Linked DNA regions of Lepisosteus oculatus. The protein of the gene in region 1 interacts with the protein of each later gene in a pairwise test. Links are inferred from orthologs where the notes say so. Each region holds a gene or a part of one and is shown on either strand. Other genes may lie near its edges.

Evidence for each region.
Region 2: the proteins of ric8a (region 1) and gnai1 interact in binary tests that used the Homo sapiens proteins (3 or more experiments, as listed by UniProt). The link is inferred for Lepisosteus oculatus from reciprocal best matches to the Homo sapiens genes RIC8A and GNAI1.
Region 3: the proteins of ric8a (region 1) and rabac1 interact in binary tests that used the Homo sapiens proteins (3 or more experiments, as listed by UniProt). The link is inferred for Lepisosteus oculatus from reciprocal best matches to the Homo sapiens genes RIC8A and RABAC1.

Annotation. Positions count from the first base shown.
Region 1 is NC_090716.1:11,899,705-11,907,822, reverse strand, and holds the start of ric8a (synembryn-A), read left to right. Parts: upstream 1-4,913; 5' UTR 4,914-5,075; coding exon 5,076-5,165; intron 5,166-7,987; coding exon 7,988-8,035; intron 8,036-8,118. Other genes in the region: bet1l (BET1-like protein), read right to left, coding at 2-169, 981-1,037, 1,432-1,523, 2,201-2,219.
Region 2 is NC_090702.1:34,832,773-34,840,902, reverse strand, and holds the start of gnai1 (guanine nucleotide-binding protein G(i) subunit alpha-1), read left to right. Parts: upstream 1-4,632; 5' UTR 4,633-5,232; coding exon 5,233-5,350; intron 5,351-8,130. UniProt on the Homo sapiens protein: Guanine nucleotide-binding proteins (G proteins) function as transducers downstream of G protein-coupled receptors (GPCRs) in numerous signaling cascades.
Region 3 is NC_090722.1:9,966,806-9,974,747, reverse strand, and holds rabac1 (prenylated Rab acceptor protein 1), read right to left. Parts: upstream 3,499-7,942; 5' UTR 3,440-3,498; coding exon 3,369-3,439; intron 2,447-3,368; coding exon 2,234-2,446; intron 1,696-2,233; coding exon 1,598-1,695; intron 1,034-1,597; coding exon 932-1,033; intron 844-931; coding exon 755-843; 3' UTR 668-754; downstream 1-667. Other genes in the region: dedd1 (death effector domain-containing 1), read left to right, coding at 5,966-6,440, 7,359-7,499, 7,605-7,748. UniProt on the Homo sapiens protein: General Rab protein regulator required for vesicle formation from the Golgi complex. May control vesicle docking and fusion by mediating the action of Rab GTPases to the SNARE complexes.

The DNA of each region.
Region 1 (8,118 bases):
TTTACGTCTGTGTCCTAGAGACTAGGTAGTAAAGTATAAAAAAAACTAAGACCAGTCCAATTGAGACATAGCACAAAATCTTCCGGTTGTCCCTTCCAGAGCGAACCATTGTAGAAAACCTCTTCACACTTCCTGTCAAGAGCCCTGTGGTGCTCAAAAAGTTTGAGTCCTTGAGAAAACAAAAAGAACGTGTAAATACAGCACAAGTCCAATTAAAAACAGGTTTTAGCTTTTGTAGGAATACATGTTAAGGGTCATGTGATTCACAAAACTCTAAAGTTCTAGGTAGTTAGGAACAAGTGGAATTAATATTTTATTGCTTGTCTGCAAAGAAGATGATTCTGTGTAACAAAATACACCTCAATATATAACACACCCCTGTATACCCACAAGTGGGAGAGAACATGGAGTTTGTAGGCATAAGAATTGACACGACACAAGTGGAATATTTCAGACAGACAAACCAAAATAACTGTTACTAAGACACCTGCAATAGTTGCAAACCAGAGCATGGCTTTAAAACTCTTAACTTTCATGACTCCAGCTCCTATTATTCCTATTATTATAACAGAACTATCAATAGAGTTGTGGGCCCACATAGCTGTTTCCATAATGTTTAACAATCCCCCAAAAATGTATGTAATGTAAAAATCCCCCCAAAAATGTTACTTATCATCAAAGTCATCAGTTTTTTTTTCTGGTGGAGTATATTAAGAGTTTTGCATCATTCAGCTGCAAGTCATTCTTGACCTTAAAGTCAATCCTGTTCCTTTGTTTCCCTTTAGGCTATCGCAGCTACTTTTTCAGTCCTGTCCAGTCACCAGAACAACCAAATAAGGTGCTGCCACAGAATCCTGAAGTTGTAGATGAACAACAGTACTATCACAAACTTTATAATGAACAAATTGCATTCCCAGTCACATTAGCATAATAATGTTTCAAATTCATATCTTATCTTAGGCCCTGCAAATTGCTCTTACCATGCCATCAAGATAGGAATTTTGGTCCTCAGCTTCTTTATCTATTTCAAAGGCCAGCTGTTAAATAAAAGCATAGAAACACTTATTAAGGAGTGCGCAACAGCAGTATCTCAGAGTCCTGTAGTAAATCTTTTGTTTCTGTATGATACGACTGGTAAACTGCATTCTTAGTTCTGATAGTAAAAATGTTGTGAAACAAAGTGAAGCCCAGGTTTGTACAAACACATGAGCAGTGTATTGGAATTCAATACTATTAGAGAATAGTAGGCTTGTCTCTGTATCGGTCTTCTGTAACGGGCCGTTTACAATCTACTTTTGCAAATTAAAACAATGAGATCATAAATCTATTACCAAGTTACTGATAAATGTTTTGGAAAATAAAAAAACGCTTTAAAATCATTTTAAAAACACACATATGCCACAAGGTGTAGTAAGAGGTTTAAATACATACTGATTTTAGTCTGGAGACTTTAGTGGCCAGATTGTCTGCCAAGAGCTTATTCTCAACATCCAGCATCTCATCCACAGCACCAGAGCCATGTCCTTACCACGAGGAAAAACAGCAAGAGAGAAGAGCATCACAAAGTAAGTGAGCACCCGTTTCAAAGCCTGTCTCAAGGCAGCACGAACACAGTTCACAGTGATAATATAAGCATGTTTGAAGACGATCAGACACACTAGAAACAAATTATATAACGCGGAAAAGGAAAACCATTTGAATTAATTATGACCAAGTGTGGGTGCCAGACGAAGCCTTAAAGAAAGCAGAGCTCTGCCCACCCTTGATTACTCCGGTTGATGCCACAATTTAATGATCAGAAACCTGTTTGATACAAACTACTCTGTGTGATCAGCGTTCCTTGAGTAATTTTAAGTAGATTAAACGAAGTAAAAAACCGTCTGAATAATGTTTAGGACGCTTACAGCATGCACATCATCAGCTTAAATGCTGTCTTTATTTTTATGACTCTACTTCGATTCAGCGATGTCTCGTTTGTAACAACTATTATACTCGTTACATTGATCAATTATTAGCTTGATGAAGCATCATAATTATATTTATTTCACTTGTTCTAGTCCAATTTACAACACCTAGTATCCACAACTTTATATACGTTTAACACACTTGTCAAGAGAAACTTTCAGACTATACAACCACACAAAAACACTATTAAACCAATAAAATATTATTTAGAATTGACTACGTGTCCACTTCCTACCTCTATTCCAGTCAGCCATCTTTGTTGACTTCCTTCTTCTGGGAAGAGGGTTAAAGGTAAAGTAACGGATACGTCACATCCTGTTACATTAATAGGGTAATGTTTGAAAGTAAAAATGTTATTAATGTCTCGTCCATATATAATGCTGATTTTATTAGAGTTGCCCTTTGGAATAAATAGATTGGAACATACATTGGCCTTGTCTTTCAATAAAAAAATAAGTGCACTATAAAATAATCCTAAAATATACGCAACTAATCCGATTGTTTCGTTTCTAAATTAAAAAAAATACATCATATTTGTTATTTTCGCCAATCAGGAAGAAAGAAATATCTTTTTGCAAATTACTGTGACAACAAAACAGAGTAAAATTATAAAATCAATTATAATTTAAATTCATTTTGAAATTAAGCAGAACTGCCTAATTTACAATAATTTTGATATATTTGTAACTATTAATAGTTAGAACAAACGCCAGAAGACACATCATCCTGCAGCTCACAGCTCACAGCTGGCAGCCCACTAAAGCTCAGCAGGGTTAATCCTGGTCAGTACTGGGATGGGAGACCTCCTGGGAAGCTATGGCTGCTGCTGGAAGTGGTGTTAGTGGGACCAGTGGGGGGTGCCCACCCTGTGGTCTGTGTGGGTCCTAATACTGTAGTGGGTGCTGTCCTTCGGATGAGACATTAAACCAAGGTCCTGACTCTCAGCGCTCATTAAAGATCCCTGGGCATTTCTCGATAAGAGTAGGGAGTTATTTTAAAAAGATATAATAACCAAATATAATAAAAGTTTTTTTTCAGTGTTACAACAGCATAAGAACAGATACAGATTTAAATATCAGAAGCTTTTAGGAAATGAAACAGAAAGGAGTGATATATTTCTTATTTTAGAGGGGTGGTCATCAGGATAGAAATCAACAACATTCCTCAGGCTGAGCAAAGGCCAAGATCTGTATTGAATACAATTAGCATAGAAGAGGTGGTGGAGTCGCAGGGATTAGAAGCCCCTAAAATTAACAGATAGGCCAGCCAGGGCCTAATGACATCCTACTAATTGGTTTTAAGGAAAGGAAAGATGTAACTATTAACCCTGTAGTGCCAGATTAATTATGTCATCCCTTAGTATCATCCCTTGAGTATACATCCCTTATTTATATCTCTTTTTTATCCTTATGACCAATTTTCATTTCAAGGCTAGAATCTGAGACTCAATCTTTTATGAGGACCATTATTAAAAACCTTTCTGAAAATCTAAATATATCATGTCATATGTCACATCCATAGCTGCTGTTATTTGTTCAAACTGTTCTAACAAGTCAAGCAAGACAGGCTTAACTAACTGCATGGTGACACCCTGGTTAGCATCGTTGTCTTGGACTGCTGGAGCGCTGTGCTCAGTTTTGGACCTGTGAATTAAATACAGATCATTTATGATACATACTTACTGTAGGTGTGTACATCATTTATATGTGGGGAAGGCAGAGAGTGAGTTAGAAATTATGATTAAATGTCTAGAATGTAAATAAAGTGATGTTTGGGCAAAACAGTAAAACACTTTAGTTTTTGTTTTTGTAGAATATTGTGAACATTTTTTTTTTTATCAGCACGTTATAAGAACATCATTACTGCTCTTGAATCATTCCAGAGAATGGTGTCCAGATAAATTCCCATACATCTGTGAGTGTCATATACTGATAGGCAAAATATTTTTAGTCTTGAGCAGGGAATACTACAAGGGGAATGCAAAATCCTTAAAGGCAATCCAATTGACTTCATCAGATTCAACATTGAAACATGAACCAGAGAACATAAATTAAATTTAAATAAGCAGAATCCTACACATTGTATAAACCCACAAGTTTAATGCTACCAGTAAAGGATCACACTTTCCGCATATACTTTCCATTTTCTACACTGTATTGACCAAAAAGAAGGAAAGAAGGACACATAACAACTGAGAAAATATACAGACCTCTGGGTTAGTCCAATTGTTAATTTTGTTAAGGAGAGGAGTAAAATATGACCTGTTAAGTATCATATGTTTAGTACCACGTACTGATTGGAAAATCAGTTTTTTTTAAATAAAAAAAGTATTTTAAAAAGTCTCTACAAGTCCTTTGATTCAACACTTAACTATCATACACATAGAAAATCTTTAGGAATTTTTCCCACCTGAGAATTGATATTGAAATATTTTTGTACAAGTCGTAAGAAGGTTAAGTGACTGGCAACTTTGTCTTTAGTATAGTTTTAGCTTAGTATCGTGATTAGTTTCACTCTTTGTTTTGTTGCAATAGAAGTGTTATTCCTTATTCCAAGGGGGATAATTAAATGAGTCGTGTTGTTGAATTCAAATGTAAAAGCTCATCAAATGTTTGTTAATAAGGCTTGTGAATCGCAGGCTCACTTTTCCAAGCACTTTTCTTTTATATAAGACGATTTGTGGACGGTATGTTCACCAGTTAATTGTAAGAATAACACCAGGGAGAAAGAGAAGAGATACACAAGAAAAAGAGCAAAAAAGAGTGCGGTTTTGCAAACCCTAAATGTACCCTTTTTTTAAAACAATGTGAATATGTCTATCTTAACACCTCGCGTTGTATCAATACATCCCCAGCATATTGTAGCAGTATTACACCTAGAGACTTGCACCTGATCGTGTAGAAACAAAAACGTAAAACTACATTTCCCAGAAATCCTTACGCACGCTTACAATCCTGCGTTAATCTTGTTCCAGGACTTTCGAGTTTCAGGGATAAGAGCTGGTAGAGTAAGGTAACGCAGTGAGACACATCAGAATATTACCCAAAGCAAGGCGTGTATGTGGTTGTCAGTTTGACTTGAACAACAATAACTGCGTCTGTAATACAGCAATGAAAATGGAATTCAATGCCATCATAGAAACGATGCAAACAGGAGACCAAGATGCCGCATTGAAGGCACTGCAGGCTTACAATAAGGAGGTATAATTTAGTATTTTTCATTTTTATACGTATTTGGTTAACATCTTGTATATTTATATATACGATTCGTATCCGTTAACCGTGTTTCCATGTGTGGGCTTCGAAATGCAGGGTATACAGTATCTGTGATTTGTTAGTGTGTTTAGCCGACTACCTTCTATTTTTACAGAAATGCATGTTTTCTGTCATTACCATCCTGACATGATGTGAACATCCTAAGTGTAACATATTTAATAGCTTCGATGTGATCTGGATTAGGGAGCCCTGGTTGTCAGCTTGAATGCATTTAATTTTATTGAATCAAACTGCCATTCACAATGGTACAGTTTGCATTTTTAAATTTTAAATGAAAATAATTAGCCATAACAACAGTGTCGCCCTAAAACGCAGGCGTATATTCTTGGTAGTAACTTTTACATTTATTTCTCAGCATTATTTAACGATGATAATTTTACATAATGGTACATCCACTCGCTGGAATACAGTTTGCCCAGGCTATTTTGTCATTGATACCAATGCTTTTGGATAGTGCAATGCAGGCAGAAATGTAACATTATTTTTTATATCAATAATCACCATCACAGCCTTGAAGAACAAAACGTATATGTAATACTTAAAATTATCTAGATCTTTGTTGGTTTTGAGATACAGGAAGACTGGGGCAATGGTCTTGGGCTGAGAGTGCAAGATACAGCTCTGTGTTAATAGTAGGTGTGTAAAGCACCTTCACCATAGTTGCCATTCTGATAGTGTAGCAAACTATTGATTTATTCTGTGCAGCTGTTATTTCAAGTGTAGTAGTAAATATCTTAATTGAAGTCATTATTATTTTAATATGTAGCTCTGGAACCCAAGCTTCACTCCAAGTTCCTTCTAGCAAGCTGAATAATACATCAGCAGGCAACTTTTTACTATTATTTTTACTTAATGTTTTTTGTGAACTGTTTTTACTTATCAGAGTAGGTACTCCATACAATTGCTTTGATGCAAGTACTGTATATAACGGTCTCTGAAGTTGTGAAATCTGGTGTGGAAATGAAGATACTTTGTGTGTATTTTTTGTTTCTCTACATTTTACATGGTATGACTTACAGATCATTTAATGCAACTAGTTATCACTGTTATAATGAGGGTGTAAGAGCCTCTTATACTTTTAGTGCCTAAATCTGATAAACGTTTTAAAGAATATTAACAGCCTTAGAGTACATCAATACCATCAGATACTTTTAATCAGCAAGGAGCTTGAAATCCATAGTTAAGATTGGGGTTGGGCTTTGTCCTTGTCTTTTTCCATCTCTTGTCAAAGCATTTAAAATGCCCAATGTCGGCATTTGTTTATGAATGTATCTACTGAAAAAGGTTCGACCATTCAACTTTGAAAATGATCAAACACAGCGTGAAAACAGGTCAACTATCAATATGATAAAATCTGATTTTGTTTTTTTCCCCACCTTGTAATCTGTATTTTTGTACATGCAAAAATAGTGCATGCTTATATCTATATTAGCATATGTGATATTCCTTTAAACCCCTGATATCACTAATGGTTCTTTCTTTTCATGTACTTTTCATTTAAATCACACTTAAAGATACTTCTGCAACAGAACATTGAGGTAATTCCTCAATACGCTGCCTTTCTTTGACGTGAATGTCAAGGAACTCCTTTCATCCTGCCCAGGAAGTCTCTGGTCTGTTCTGCGGTGCGTGTTGTGAAAATTGGATTAGATCATTGAGCCATGTGCAGCTCAGCTCATCTGAACTGTCCTGTTATAGACCAGTAAGTCACCTGGTGCCTCACAGAAGTCACGTTGACTACATACCCCTGAACAGTATCTCTGTTGCTCTTCTTCTGGAAGGAACGCTCAGCAGAATGTGATGCTGCTGTACTGTAGCTTTTTGCCCCTAGCACATCTCAAACAGCAACAGACAGAACAAGCTGTTCTTTCAGACTAACACCAGCAGTATCCTAAAGCCATATCCTAATTGGGTTAGAAATGTCATTTCCTGTTGCATGTTGATATACCCTAATTAGCTGTACATAGTGTGGGACTACATACAGTAAAAGAGCAAGCATTTACTTTTGTTGACATTATGTGAAAAGTTGTTAAGTTTACATGAACGGAAGACAAAAACTCATCCCCAGAATACTTCCGGCTTCCACTCAACTTTCCTGTTCTACACGATGGGTGTCATGTAGGTTATCTTCCTTGAAAGGTTAGAATAAGGCCTTCCAGGAGGTAAAACTGAGATACCCCCAGACCAAAAGAAAGAATAACATTTTTAAGCGAGTCTCCACGATACAAAACTGAAAAAAAAGTTTTTGGTTTTAGACAATTTGAAGAAGAACAATGCAAAGATAGAAAGTTGTGGATTGTAACAGGCCATATGTAGAAAGTGATACCCCCATTTAAACATGATCCCAAATGTAGTCATGATCCCTAACTAATCATTATAACAAAGTAAGAGTTGCAAAAATAATGATTATTTTTCTTTCCTGAGACAAAGCATTAATTTGTAAAACATTCTGCATAATTAACAAAAAAACCTTTTTGTCAGTTATGAGTGATTGCTCCTAATAATGCATGAAGGCAAAAAACAAACAAGCTGTTTTTTTTCCCAGCAGGACATATTTCTCCCATTAGTGGTGTTTGTACACAAAGTTGTTAATCAATATCTATCTTTATTCATGGCACCTTTATGTATGTGCCAACAAAAGTGGTTATTTTTTTCTTCTTGGTGTCTCTCATAAATGATGACATTACCTGGATATAAAATGAGTTGCCAAGAATTGATTATATATATTTTTTGTGTCTCTGTTTTAGAAAAGCCAGTGTTTCACATTTGAAGCAGATGAGTGCGAAGAAAGACAGGTATGGTTACTATCTCTTGTTATTCAGTGCAATTATTTAACAGGCTCAGAGAAGTAATAGATTAGCATGCTCTGTCATCACTT
Region 2 (8,130 bases), on another chromosome or scaffold:
AAATGCTGGTTATTTGAAACAATTAATCTTAATGTTTGTACAAGACGCTCCATTTCTTTATGAACATATAAACATTATGGTTAGCCTGCATTAGCTGAAATCATTTAAGATTTAAAGTAATCAAAGAATGTCTTTTTCCCAGACATTTAAAACATCCAAGATTGTATAATTTTCCAGAATTTTATCATTGACTTTTTCTCTTTTAGATTTTAATAACATTTGTGATTAATGGTTAAAACATACCACAGAAGTAATCCTGTGATTATTGTTTTATATTTTTGTTTTATATGTTTGTATAACTGGCTTATTGTAGTGCAAACTTTGTTGATTTCCAGAAGTTTGCACCTTGACTAGATTTGACAAGGTGAGTAGGGGAGGCTGTACTTGTGTGCAAACTGTCTAGGAATACGTAGGACACTTGGTTGACCATAAAGCTATAAAGTAATGGTCCCCAAGCCTAGTCCTAGAGGACTCCTATGTCTTCATGTTCTCACTGTAGCTGAGTTCTTAATCACAGGCAAACTGATTTCAGTTTTCACAATTTTACATTTGCTTACAGTCCTGAATAAGATGAAAGGGATTTGTTGTTGGTATCGACCATGTACTAATTTCTCATTTTATGGACTGCACAATTCAAGTGTTAAGTGTTAATATAATTAATCACCTACTAAGAGCTGCTTAGTCAGAAATGAGCAATTTGAAGAGAGTCTGCTTAAAGTTCTGTAAGTTAAAATTGCTTGAAACAATGCCCCTGAAACAAGATCATTTTAAAAAAGTGCAGAAACAAACAACGTCTAAACAAGCAAGCAGATCAATTAATGGATTTGCACTGGAAATTAAAAGCTCAACTGAAAAGAAAACTGGCAGACAAAGTGGTCCTGAGGACCACTAAATAAAGAATAATGCTCTTATTTCCAATGTAAGGAATCAAAGCAAGCTTTTGGTGTATTTACAAAGAGTATCCTGTCACCCCAATGTCATTATAACTTATAAAACATATATTTTAAAGAAGACCTTTACAAAATAGTGCAATAGAATGAGGTGGAATTTCACCACCTCCTACTGTATGTATAATTACGTTACACCATACACATAATCAACATCTGCTAAATTACAATATGGTAATGAGTAAAGTAACACTTCATTGTGTCCATGTACACGACAGAACTGAATTGACCTTGTTTTTGTTTATTGTACAAAAATTAAAACAGGCCAGCAAATAGAAGAAAAACTAACATCTACATTAGAAGCATTCAAAAAGGGATAGAATTGTTTTGTTCTTCTCTTTCTCCTTCTTTAGATGGAGACCGATTTGGGAGACAAATGCAGGCATAAACAAAGGACAAAAGAGGTGAGAATAGGCACACAGCAGGGTGAGAAAGATTGTCCAAGTGAGGGAGAGGTGTGAAAAGCAGCAATCTGTACATGAATGGAGAGATTGTAAACAGAAATTAGTCAGTAGAAGAGGGAAGGTAAAATCCACATTTAAAGATAATCTTGGCTTTTAATGTCTTTCTGAAGTGGAGTCCTGCAATCCTTGTAAAAGAATGCAGACAAAAAGGTCAGTGAAATTATGACTGGGAGAGACAAAATGGAGACCTACTGGCTTAGAGAAATCTTTGATCCTCACTACTCACTACTATAATTCACTATTTCTTGAAATGGTCAGAGTGTCTCCTTCCTATTTCAGTGATGTAAATGCAACAGCATTTTCTGTGAAAAGATGTAATAAACAAGTTTACCAGATACACATGTGTTTGATTTTGAAACGCCCTGATGGGTCACATACTGTACATATGTGACACTGGATATGTATTAGCTGGTGATGCAATGACTTCTGACAGGAAGAGGTGCCTGGTGTGACTGGTCGCTGTGGGTGCTTAAGAGAACTGGAGACAAGAACGTTACATACTGTAGATAAGGTGGTTGGTAGTATGAAATGATACACATACTAGATGTGATTATTTTTTATTTTTGTTTTTTACAACAGTAAAACATTTTTTAAATACATTCAAATTGCAGTCCCCACAATAGTTGTGAGTTTCAGAGGGTATGTAGAAGCAGAAGTTGTAAAACCTTCTGATGGAAAAAAAAAACAAGATTCCCCAGGCAGATTACATTTAGAGAACTACACACATAAAGGAGGAAATGTCTCAAGAGTACACTCCCTCTTATTATGAAGATAAGCATGCAATGATACACTTCAATAACCTAAACTATTTTAATGCAAAAAAATTCTTGATACTATTTGAAAAAATGAGACACATTAAAAACTACAAAAGGTATTCTTAAAATGTCATTCTGATGGGTTTTAAATTGAAGGGCTAATTTCATATGAAAGCAAGAAGAAAATAAACACTGTACAATCCACACTTTTAAATACTATATATAAAGTGCAGCTGAGATTTGTTATTAATGATATGTTTTAGTGGTCCAAAAAGTCTTCTACTCAACTACACACAGGTTTAGGAATCCACAAACATTTAAAACCTCAATCAGCCAGATAATAATAATACAGTACATTTTAAGGAAAGAAGATATTTGATTTTTTTTTCCACAGAAAACGCTGAAAGACAAATACTTTTCTGGTAAAAAGCTGATTTAAAACAAAAATGTTATTAGACATGTAAAGCATTAATCTTAGTATGGAATGAGTAATGGAATGTTATGGAAATACTGTGCTACAGTATTTAATATCACGAAACTAAAATTTCATCCAGGAGAGTGCTTAGCCATTTTAACTTCAAATATGAGAAAGCAAATTATTAGTGGTTTAATCAAATTCACCAGAGCAAAACCATGCACAGTGGCAGGAATTCACAAACCTTTTAGCTGCAGAGGGCTCCTTGGTAAATGAGCAGTGGTTGAGAAAATGATAATGATGGTAGGAAAGTGGGCAGGAAAGAGTGCATGCCTAAGCCTCGAATAAACAAATAGCATGGTTAACGTTTAGGTTATGGAAAAGTCCTGTTGCTCCCTGACAAGATTTCTCCCTTTATCACATTTGACAAAGATGAGCTCTTCCAGTAACACATAAACCATTTCCAGACAGCAAGGAGGAGTACTGTATGCTTACATTCTTTGGAGAAATCCCAGGCCTCAATTTCAGCCCGATCAGCCTTCTGAGGACCATACATGAGGCTCTTCAAGACATAATCACAAAAAACAAAATACTCCATTTTGGAAATGAGAAAGTTGTTTGCAAAACAGTTTACTGTGAAACCTCATTTTATCAAACCATCTCATTGTTTTACATTTTTCTTGCAGTTAGGGTGCCTGTGGACTTTGCAGGTTGTGTTCCAGGGGGCATCAGTGTGCACTTCCAATCTCTTCAGATTGCTTACAGCTATTATTTTCACTTCACTGAGATTTGATTCAGTGTATCTTGAGTATAGCCCCCCTTTCATAATTTCACAGGTAGCCAATACAATTTACATAAGACTGGAGTTCTGTGTCGATGCAGATTACAATTCTTAGTACGTGCTATATAGTACCTTAGAAGACAACCTAATCTGTAAGGCATTACTTAACTAAAATAAATACCTACCAATATTTATGTCAGATAGGCAGAACAATGCCAATGGCCCTCTCCATTGCTTCTGGTGACATTCGAGGCATTATGGAATGCACAGAAAAGTGTGGCCTTTTTCTTACAGTGACCTAAGCTTTGAATTAAGGCCTTTTTAAAGGTGACTTGATCAGGTATTGTTCCACCTGGACCTCATTGGGTAAAAGGGTACCTAATGAGCTTTTGTGTGATTGGCAAGTTGCAATACCTCACTGCACGAGCTGTATTGCTAGTCAGGGGGCTTAAAACAAACTGACAACTTTTTGTGAAAGTTCGTAAACTATAACTAGGATTCTCAATCCAGAAAATATTTTATTTTTTCTATCAGTATACTTCTAAATGTTGGCAAGTAAGGTGTATATGATATGAGATTAAAAAATAAAATTTAGATATAATTACCAGATAAGTATACTTTATGGTGAAACTAAATATGTAATTGTTTAAACATTTCATATAAATATTGAGATAATGCTGATGACAGTGACTGTGTTATGTGAGCTGCATATCTGTCACTTAAATTGTAAACAGTTGTGGTAATGCTAAATCTTAATAAGTAACGGGAAGACGATACAGAGATACAACGTCGCATCTAAAAATGGAGACGAAAGCCGTCTATGACGATCTGAAGAGGGTGCACCTTAATGTGACGTTTGTCAAACAAATGAGAATTATTTAACTGGCTTCTGGTTTCCTGAAATGGGATTCTGAACCAAGACAAAAAATAACGATTCCTTTGATATTACGACTACAAAAATGCAACGTGTAGTTGGGAAAGTATATATTCCCGTGTTGATTCGGAAAGTGAAGTGAGCTGTCGAATAGTCTTAACATTTGGGGGACTTTTATTTGCCCCAAACCACAAGTCAAAAACCAAAAATACACAAACTCAAATTTAACAACCTTAAGCGAATACAAACTGTCATCGGTAGTGACTTAACGACTCTTTGTAGGGTATCTTAAGACGCCATAAAACCAAACGTACCCTATACTTCCCAAAAGTTACAAAGCAGCACCGCGTCACATCACTGAGACGGACAGGGTGGAACCTGGTGGCATGAACACGGTACCTCCAGCTGGTTGCATGAAACTCAAAATGCAACAACAAAGGAAACGCTCAGACACTACGCGCTTCCTTGGCTTATTGTAATACCAAATGAAGCATGACATTCACCGAGGGCAGAGGAGCTAAAACATTACGCCGCTGAGACACAGCAGATGCGGCGCAAGAACCAGACCGAGGGGCTCCCTGAAATGGGCGCGTGCCTGCCTGCTAAGACGCGTGCGCGAGCCCCAGCGTTTGAACAGGAAGCAGCAGCAGGAGTCGGTCAGTCGAGTGACTGAGAGGAGGCAGTCGGCGCTGGCTTACGGTCCGGGGCTGTATTCTCCACCCTCAAGAGGGGAAAAAACACTGATACGAGTTCAGTTAGATTAACGACGGGGAGTTGTAGATCACGTCTACTTTTTTTGTTTTGTGAAAGTCGCTCGATTATTCGTGTCGAGTGAACCGTTTCTTTTTTTGGTTGCCTGGAGTAGGGCGTGTTTGTGTTTTTTGTTTCCCGTGGACCACCCCCTCTTCTCTCCTTTTCCCCCGATTCTTGCATGTTTGTGCTGGACAGATTTAATTTTCCAACTTTCGTACTGCTGCGAGACGTTTCGGTCTGAGGATGGGGTGCACCTTAAGCACTGAGGACAAGGCGGCGGCGGAGCGCAGTAAAATGATAGACCGGAATCTGCGGGATGACGGAGAGAAAGCGGCCAGGGAGGTCAAACTGCTCCTTCTCGGTAAGGAAAGGAGGGTGGCAAACTTTTCGAGCTAATCGTGTACAGTTTGCTTGTGTTGCTAAGCCAATCCCGAGTTTCAGCTGACGGATCAACGTAGCTGAATGAGAAATTTTAATGAATGTGTAGATATATGAATGGATACTTTTTTTTAATGTCTGGAATCTCATATCTTTTTTTTTATGAAATAGCCCTTTTCCCCCCACTAAGATGACTACATAAGCAATGTAGGAGCAACATGTATAATTATCCTGGGAAGGGTCATTTAACATGCAACATCTATCGGTTTTGATGGTTGTTTTCCAAATTGGCGAAACGACTTTTTTTTTTGTGTTCCTCCGTGCGGTAGTGGGGTTAGCTACTCGTGAGGCGTTGAGAAGAAACTCTGTGAATGCGACAAAAATGGCCACAAGAGGCTAATTCTTGCATTGATTTCTTTTGTGCTTCAGCCGTGCGGTTACCATTTTTGGGGAGGTCCAGGCGCCTTGTAGGAAGCTTGCGAGAGTGAAGGCAGGCCGAACTGTTTCAGAGGCCCACAAGCGCCTCTTGGCTTTATTTTTGCGAGAAAGGAGCTTTCAAAACCCACCTACCACCATTTCCTAGTGATGGGGCTTTGGTTGCGTGTGAAATTGCTTTCAGTAGGATTGAAACCTGTTGATTTGTGATATTGTTCCCCAGCTGATTCAAAATGGCACAAGTGAAACAGTTAAATTACCATTTAAATTGGGGAGATGTTTGATTTTTTTTTGTTTTACAGTAGTTTCCTGTCAGACGTCAGCTAAGCTTCCGTTATAGGCTCGGCGTTTGTATCTGTTCAGCTTTAAAATGTCTTTTGCAGTTGCGTCACACTGTTCTCTTAAAACTTTTTGGGTGGATGTGCGTATGCAGCACCTGATGTTGATTTTCACAGTCGCTGGCGAGGCACGAATTCAGCAGTTATTATATGGCTTAGAACAATCGTTGCCCACAAAATACATGTATTGTTTCCACTCACACGTCGTTAAATGGACTTGAGTAGTATGTTTATTGGTAAATTACTTGCATAGCCATTGCGTGCACACAGTACTGAGTGCATGCAGCGATCTAGCCTATATACCTACACGGCAGTTTCAAAGATGCTAGCTTGGAGATAAAATTAATTCTTTGAAGTGTAGCAGTGGAAGAAGTCAGTGGATATTTTAACAGGCTCTCGCAAGTGGCACCTTTCGGATTTATATAGATAGCGCGTTTGACTGTGTACATTTTCTTCACAGCCCAAGTAGAAACAAAGGAACTGTACCTGTGCTTCTTATTCTAGTTAACAGTAGACCTCTCTTTCCTGGCCTCTTGTCTGTTAAAATACAACTTTAGTTTGGGCAAATGAGTACGAATAAAAAAAAGTGTCCATTGGAGTTGTACCTCGGAGCAAACTACATAACATTAATTGACGCGTTGTATTGAGTATAAAATATATCAGAAAGATAATTTGTTCAAGTGCGCATCTATAATGTGAAGCAACAATTTGAAGCAAATCTAATACTCTTCACTTGCTTGTCTTTCTTTTAATATTCATTAATTGTTTTTGGTAAGAATGCAACAGGTGATTTGCTGGATTTTAGATTTTTTTCTTTCAGTATAATTCAGCAAAAGAGCTTGTTTTGAATGAGAATTCTTCTAGATGATTGCTAACAAATTAACTATTGATGTAGCCTTTTTCCTAAAGATCTTCTATATGTAATACAGGTATAGACCATTTTGAGCTTTTTTTTTGTAATTTTAAGAACACGTATCTTAGTTATGTGCCAGTCTTTAGTAGATTTTTGAGGAAAACATAATTTCTAATTATTAGACTACAAGAAAGTTGTGCAGAGAGAGATGGGCATCTCTTTTGGCTCAATGCTGAAGGCTTATTATTTTAATGAAAACTGACATATATTTTGAATTTGCAGTCACGTGTTGAATATTCTTAACCACCTGTTGGTAAAGACGTAAAATTCATAGTTTCCTTTCTCCTGTCACTTGATCTATTGTAGAAATCTGTTTGTGTCCTCTAGCCTTCTGGAAAGAGCCATATGTTAGAGCTCAGTGTAATGTTGCATGAGCTATTCACCTTGAAAGTCAGAAGGTGTGTGCCGTTGCTGCTCTGATGCATTTGCGTTTCCAGGTAACATAGATAGCTAGTTCAAATTACAGGCAACATTGGTAAAGACTCAGCTGCACTAAGCGAATGAAACAAAAGTAGACTGAGATCAGTCATTTGCATTAAAAATTAAGTGGGTGCTTTGCTGCTCTTAGCCTATCAGCATGTTGAAAATTATAAAGTCTGTGGTTAACTAGAATGAACAGGATTTAGAGATGCACTGTATCCTGACCTCATAAGTATCAGGGGATTTCTGTTTTTGTGGTTGAGGCATTGTCACAAATGCTACAGAAGATGTACCTTATTATGGTACTGTATTATTAATGTAGAGAGATGGATATTTGAACCTGTTTACGTAAAATGTAAAATCTTCATAAGGGTTCAGTTCTCTCACTTAGTATTCGGTATCGTGAGCCCACCATTAACACTTACAATGTAACAGTATGTCTTTCTGTGATGACATGTTGACAATTAGACTTTCCTGCACTGTCAAAGTGTCTGTAGGCCTTTCAGGATTAGGTGTCATGTAATTGGTTTGGACTCACTCTGTACAGCATTTGTTCAGATTATACAGCTTTGTTGTGAAGCTGTTATTTGTAGTTGATATTGGTTTTAAGGACTGCAGTATTTTAGATTTCAATGTTTTGAATTGGAGACATTGGAC
Region 3 (7,942 bases), on another chromosome or scaffold:
AACACAAACACAGAAGTCCTTCAGTAACACAGTTCATGCAAAGCAGGGCAAGACAAGTAGCCTAGACAATATTGCACCAACGATTAATATTAACTGATATACTGGAGAGGAGACAGGGCTCTCAGTCAGACTCCCAGTGCACAGCAGGCTGATCCATGCCTGGTTTTATATTGTGCATACTCAAGACTCGCAGAGCTCTGTAGTCTGGTCTTCCCTGGACCAGACAGCTATTCAGACATCTAAAGTAAAGCTGACCAACCCACTCCAGACCTGACTCCCAGTGCACAGCAGACTGATCTACTCCACTTGGGAGTCCCTTCTGTGCAAAAGGATCAGACTGCAGTGCACTGGGAGTCTGACTGACAGCCCTGTCACACCTGGAGCGGATCAGACTGCTGTGCACTGGGAGTCTGACTGACAGCACAGGAATAGATCAGACTGGCCAAAGGAAGGTTTCAGATTGCCAGCACTGCTCTGGGAAAAGGAGTCAGTGTGTCAGTGTGTGTGGGTTTGTCAGTGTGTCACCGTGTCCGTGTGTGTGGGTGTGTCGCTGTGTCAGCGTGTCACTACATCAGAGTGTCAGTCTGTCGGTGTGTCAGTCTGTCGGTATCAGCTTGTCAGTACTGTCAGTCAGTGCCTTGATAATAAATACAGACAGACAGGGAAATGCGTCGTCACAATGACTGAGTATTTGTGTGACAAAGAGGCAAGAGTAACTAGGGAAACAGGGTGAAGAGGAGCAGGAGGTCAGGGGTCAGACGGGTTCCATGGTGAGCTCCTCCAGGTCCCCGTTCTCCAGCTCACGGAAGGCTGCGTGAGACCCAATCACAGCCAGCGTTGCACCTGAGTGACAGGAGCAGGGACACGCCTCAGTACAGCGGCACAGGAAGGGGAGGAGCAGAGCAGAGGGAGGAGTCAGACAGGAACTCACCCAGCACCCAGAACACAGCTGCTCCTGCTCCAGCCAACCAGAACACAGGGAAGGACACAGCTCCTGCCAGGGCCAGCTGGTGTCCCCCAGTGACCTCCCTCCCTAGACAGAGAGAGAGTTCATCCAGACACACTGTACATTAACACTGCACTGAGAGAGGGGTTAATACAGACACACTGACTGGACACTCCAGTACATTAACACTGCACTGAGAGAGAGGGGTTAATACAGACACACTGACTGGACACTCCAGTTCATGAACACTGCACTGAGAGAGAGGGGTTAATACAGACACACTGACTGGACACTCCAGTACATTAACACTGCACTGAGAGAGAGGGGTTAATACAGACACACTGACTGGACACTCCAGTTCATGAACACTGCACTGAGAGAGAGAGGGGTTCATACAGACACACTGACTGGACACTCCAGTACATTAACACTGCACTGAGAGAGAGAGGGGTTCATACAGACACACTGACTGGACACTCCAGTACATTAACACTGCACTGAGAGAGAGAGGGGTTAATACAGACACACTGACTGGACACTCCAGTACATGAACACTGCACTGAGAGAGAGAGAGGGGTTAATACAGACACACTGACTGGACACTCCAGTACATGAACACTGCACTGCACAGGTGTAGACAGACGGACTCACCAAACAGCACCAGTTTCTTCTCCAGGCTCTTGAGGTGGATGACATAAAACGCGCCAACGAACACAGCCAGGGCCAGTAACAGCAACGGGGAGCTGATGCTGAGAGAGACAGGAGACAGAGCTGCTTCATTTCACTGCGACAGAGCGAGTGTTCAAAATCCTCAACTTCTGTCCATGCAGGGTCAGTGAACGCCTGAAACCTGTGACTTACGATCCCTCAGCATCAACTTGTGACCTGTGACCCTTGATCTGCAACGCCTTGGTAACCACCTGCAACCCCCGGCAGTGACCTGTGACCCATGACCCCCCGGCAGTGACCTGCCACCCGTGACCCTCCCCGGCAGTGACCTGCGACCCATGACCCCCCTCCAACAGTGACCTGCGACCCATGACCCCCCTCCAACAGTGACCTGCGACCCATTACCCCCCCCACCCCCAGGGCTGTGACCTGCGACCTGTGACCCCCCCGGCAGTGACCTGTGACCCATGACCCCCCTCCAGCAGTGACTTGCAACCCATGACCCCCCCCAGGGCTGTGACCTGCGACCTGTGACCCCACCCGGCAGTGACCTGTGACCCATGACCTCCCCCCCCCCCAGCAGTGACCCACGACCCGTGACCCCGCTGCTGGACTCACATGCAGTACAGGATGAGGCCGAGGAAGATGAAGGTGTAGTTGCTCTGGTAGGTGTCCAGGTTGCGGACGACTCTCTGGCACAGATCCCCGAAGTTGCGCGGCTTGGAGAACCGCCGCTGGTCCACAAACCCCGCCCACGGGCGCATGGCGGCGCGGCGCCGCTCCAGCCACTCCCGCGCCACGCCCCCGGACAGCCCCCGCGGCAGCCAGAGCCTGCGACACAGAGAGAGTGACCGCCTGCTGGAGCACACACTGACCCCACTGACACTGCCCACACTGACACTGAGCCTGTCACTGACCACACTGACACTGAGCCTGTCACTGACCCTGAGCCTGTCACTGACCCTGACACCACTGAGCCCACTGACACTGAGCCTGTCACTGACCCTGACCCCACTGACTACACTGACACTGAGCCTGTCACTGACCCCACTGACACTGAGCCTGTCACTGACCCTGACACCACTGACCACACTGACCCTGAGCCTGTCAGTGACCCCACTGACACTGACCCCACTGACACTGAGCCTGTCACTGACCCTGACACCACTGACCCTGAGCCTGTCACTGACCCTGACCCCACTGACCACACTGACCCTGAGCCTGTCACTGACCCCACTGACACTGACCCCACTGACACTGAGCCTGTCACTGACCACACTGACACTGAGCCTGTCACTGACCACACTGACACCACTGAGCCTGTCACTGACCCTGACACCACTGAGCCCACTGACACTGAGCCTGTCACTGACCACACTGACCCCACTGACACTGAGCCTGTCACTGACTCTGACACCACTGACCACACTGAGCCTAACACTGACCCCACTGACACTGAGCCTGTCACTGACCACACTGACCGTAACACTGACCCTGAGCCTGTCTTTGACCCTGAGCATGTCACTGACTGTACTGACCCTAACACTGACCTTTTACTGACCTTACCAACCCTGACACTGACCACACTGAACTGTCCCTACTAACCCTGACCCTGTCATTGACCCCACTGACACTGCACTGGCCCACACAGTGTAGAGACTCTCCAGGCTGGACTGGACTGACTGGACTGGGAGCTGGATTAGTGATTCACTGGGATTAAGAAAACAACAGCGTTTCCATGAAGGGAACTTACTTCCCGGCCAGTCCTCCTCCGGCCGGCTCTCCCGGTTCCCCGCTGAACACATCCCCCGTCTTTCCTGCCATCGCTGTCCCGCTGTCGGCTCTGCTGCTTCCCGGACAGCGCCAGGACAGAAGGACAAAAAACCAGCTTCATCCCCCTGGAACTCAACTGACGTACGAGGACGAATCAAACTGCCCCCTGCACCCCGCAGGGCCACACATTCCACGCGTGGGAGTGCGTGAGTGAGCTTCGGCGCGTTGCGTGCCAGCCTATAACGTCATCACCCAACCTACCAGAACAACGACGTCACTACATCCCTCTCTACGTCACTGTTCCAAACAAAACAAACAGTAAAGATGAGTTTAGAAAGTGAGTGAGATAATAATAATTATTATTATTATTAACACGTAAACGACGTGGTCTGTTCTCACCAGGACGGCGTTAATACCAATGGAGGACCGTGAATATTTTTTTCCAATTGGAAGGTTTTTCCCATTTTCGAGTGAGCCAGGTTTTCCAGCAGGAAGAACTGGAGACACTTCTTCCCATTAGCCCCGCGCACCGAACCAACAGCCGCAATTCGACACCGCTGCTCAATCCCCAGTCTGATCCCAAACAGTATTAAAAGGTTTGAAATAATTATATATGTCTCAGGAACTCCGAGACACTCACCCTCGGCGATGCTCTCTTTGTGTTCCGGCTCAGTTCCGGATGTGACGTGTCCCCGTAGGGCGGCCAACGAGCTGGCTATTTACCGTAAATCGCCTGATAGACGGGTAGCCGGAATTAGCTCTCGGCGCCTCCGTGTCTGCAGCACGGCGCGCAGGCCGGCTCTGTCAAACCCCCGTTGGCAAATGGGGTGCCTACACATCTATAGCTCAGGGTGCGAGCGCTGGTGCATTTCGCTCAGGAAGACTGTGAGAGACAGGTCAGCCCCAGTAGGGGTATCTGGACAGTGTGGGACCATAGAGGCTGCTTTGGTCAGGGGGTGCTGGTGGAGCACCTCACCACTATCTTCCCTCTGGACCAGAATTTCCAGCCCACTGGCCCAGTATGGTGAACAGGGACACCGTCCTTTACAAGGCACTGCCCTCGGGATGAGATCTTACCGTCGTGAAACGACAATTTGGGGCCACTGGTGCAGAATGACCGCTGTGCGTCTCCCACACACTCGGAGAACACCAGCGCTATGTAAACGCAAACCGTAGACTGTGGAGGAAACTGTGGAGGAACCCAAGTTGCGCGTCTGTGCTACATCAGTTATTACGGTAACTCGGTTTGGCAGCTCAGTGAGGGCGTCAACTTTTTGGTTGCTAGGCGACCGAGCAGCAGGCCCCTCTTCTGCACCCTAGCGGCCAGGCTCGGGATAGCGCCTCCGGCAGCCAAACAGAGCCCCGGATCCGCTTCATGCCAGCAGCGCTCTTAAGTAATAAAAATAATTCCTTACACTTATATAGTGCTTTTGTGGACACTCAAGTCAAAGCGCTTTACAGGTCATGGGGATCCCCTCCACCACCACCAGTGTGCAGCCCCACCTGGATGATGCGCCAGTCCGCTCCCCACACACCAGCTCTCAGTGGGGAGGAGAGCAGAGTGATGGAGCCAGTTCAGAGATAGCAACGCAAGTAACGCAACTTATCAAATCCTTAATCGAACAAAAGGATTGATTTTGAATATTGTGTTTTGTGCGCTCAGACACGTGTCACCACTGAGAAGCACAGGGTCCGGGCTCGATGGTAACCAGCCTGTACCAGCTCACAGCTCTAACGGCCTTTCCAGGTACGAACAGCTCGAGCTACACGCCGGGCAGAAATCAGGAAAAGGCTATCCGGACTTCCTGCTTCCAACTTCCTTCGCCGGCCATCGCGAGTCTCGCCCCTATCCACCTGTGAGCGAGCCTGTCAGGAAGACCTGTCCTCCTCCGTCTCCTGGGCGCCCGGGGGCAGGCTTCCTCTCCCAACATGGCGACTCTCGGCGTCGGCAGATCACGTGCGGCAGACCCTCCTCTCCCATTGGCCGGTGCCTCGGTGATGGCGGCCGCTCGGCGAGGGGCGGTCGCGCATGCGCGCAGCTGCTTCTGGAAGCTGCTAGAAGCGGACGAGTCGCGAGAGAGAGCGGACAGGGTTTGTGCAGCCCGGACACTAGACGAGCTTTGAACTTGCCAGCGCACAGCCAGCCGCCCGGATCCCGGCCCGGTTCCGACCCGCACCGCAGCAGAGCGCTTGTGACACAGGTCCGGCCGGAGCGGTCACTCTGCGGACAGCCGCCGCTGGCCGGAGCCCCGGGACGGGCGCAGCAGAGGGGAGACGGATCTGGAGACCGCTTGTCACGGGTGGGGGAGGCGAGACACGACGGGACAGCTGGGGTAGACTCGCCTCTGTGTCGCGGAAACACACACACACACACCTCCAACCCACCCGCACCTCTTCCGCGAGCTCGTGACGTCACCGCAGGGGCCAGCCGGAGAGGAGGGGCGCACGTGGGCTTACATAACGCCTGCACGTGACCCGGGTTGTTTGTCAACAGCGCGGCCGGCCCGCCCTGCGTGGACGCCCACGCCCACACCTCCGACCACACTCGCACCCACACCCAGGCCCGCCGGTTCGGCCATGCCCCCAGTCCCAGTCCCAGTCCCGGGCCCGGCCCCGGCCCGCCGGCCGCTGTGGTGGGACGAGACGGAGTGCCTGACCTACTACGGCATGCAGTCCCTGCACGAGCTCTTCGAGGTGGTGGGCTCGCAGCTCACGGACACGGACGTGGACGTGCTGTCCTTCCTGCTGGACGAGACCTGCCCCGCCGCCCACCCGCTGCACCCGGCCGGCTGGACCCCGGACCCGGCCGCCGACGAGCCCGAGCCCCGGGCCGGCCCCCGCCTGCTGGAGGCCTGGCGCCGCCTGCGGCCCCGCGGCTCGCCCGCGCCGCTCGCCGCCCGCCACCGCCCCAAGTGCGGCGTGGAGCTGCTGCTGGAGCTGGAGCGGCGCGGCTACTGCAGCGAGTCCCGCCTGGGGCCCCTGCTGGAGCTGCTGCGCGTCCTGACCCGCCACGACCTGCTGCCCTTCGTCAGCCGCAAGAAGAGGAGGACGGGTGAGGCCTGTACCCCCTTTCTGTGTGTGCACCCCAACCCCCCAGTCAGTGTGTCTGTATTAACCCCTCTCTCTCTCAGTGCAGTGTTAATGTACTGGAGTGTCCAGTCAGTGTGTCTGTATGAACCCCTCTCTCTCTCAGTGCAGTGTTAATGTACTGGAGTGTCCAGTCAGTGTGTCTGTATTAACCCCTCTCTCTCTCAGTGCAGTGTTCATGTACTGGAGTGTCCAGTCAGTGTGTCTGTATTAACCCCTCTCTCTCTCAGTGCAGTGTTCATGTACTGGAGTGTCCAGTCAGTGTGTCTGTATTAACCCCTCTCTCTCTCAGTGCAGTGTTCATGTACTGGAGTGTCCAGTCAGTGTGTCTGTATGAACCCCTCTCTCTCTCAGTGCAGTGTTAATGTACTGGAGTGTCCAGTCAGTGTGTCTGTATTAACCCCTCTCTCTCTGTGCAGTGTTAATGTACTGGAGTGTCCAGTCAGTGTGTCTGTATTAACCCCTCTCTCTCTCAGTGCAGTGTTAATGTACTGGAGTGTCCAGTCAGTGTGTCTGTATTAGCCCCTCTCTCTCTCAGTGCAGTGTTAATGTACTGGAGTGTCCAGTCAGTGTGTCTGTATTAACCCCTCTCTCTCTCAGTGCAGTGTTAATGTACTGGAGTGTCCAGTCAGTGTGTCTGTATGAACCCCTCTCTCTCAGTGCAGTGTTAATGTACTGGAGTGTCCAGTCAGTGTGTCTGTATTAACCCCTCTCTATCTCAGTGCAGTGTTAATGTACTGGAGTGTCCAGTCAGTGTGTCTGTATTAACCCCTCTCTCTCTCAGTGCAGTGTTAATGTACTGGAGTGTCCAGTCAGTGTGTCTGTATTAACCCTCTCTCTCTCTCTCTCTCTCTCTCTCTCTCTCTCTCTCTCTCTCTCTCAGTGTCCCCGGAGCGTGTCAGCGCAGTCCCGGTATTGGGGTACGGGGGTGAAGCGTCAGTGAGCTCCTCCCAGCGGCCAGAGAAGGACTGTGGTGGACAGACAGACCTTCCTCCGGTCTGCGCCGGGGCCCAGTGGAGTGCGGGTGAGTGGGGCGCACCGAGTGGGGGTCCTGTCCTGTGGTCTGTGGGGGGGTGTGAGCAGATGGGTCTCCAGAGCCTGACCCGCCCGTCTCTCTCTCTCTCCCCAGGCGTCGAGTCGTCCAGGCCGAGCCCCAGCCCTCAGAAGCGCGGCCGGGGTCGGAGACGCAGGGGGGGCGGCGCCGCCCCGGAGAGGCCCGGTCCAGCCCAGGGGGGCCCGCGGCCGGGGCAGCAGCGCGAGCGTGTGACCTGCGGTAAGAGCCCCGCGCGTGTCCGCCCGCCTGCCCGTCAGCCCCCCTCCTCCCCTCGTGCGTCCTCAGACACTCCGCCAGCCCGCGCCACGGCTCGGGTTCGGGGTTTCCAGGGCGGGGTCAGGTGACCGTCGGCACCTGGGGGGTGTGGGCCAGTTAAGTCACTTTAATTTAGTCAACGATGCTGCTCCGCCCCG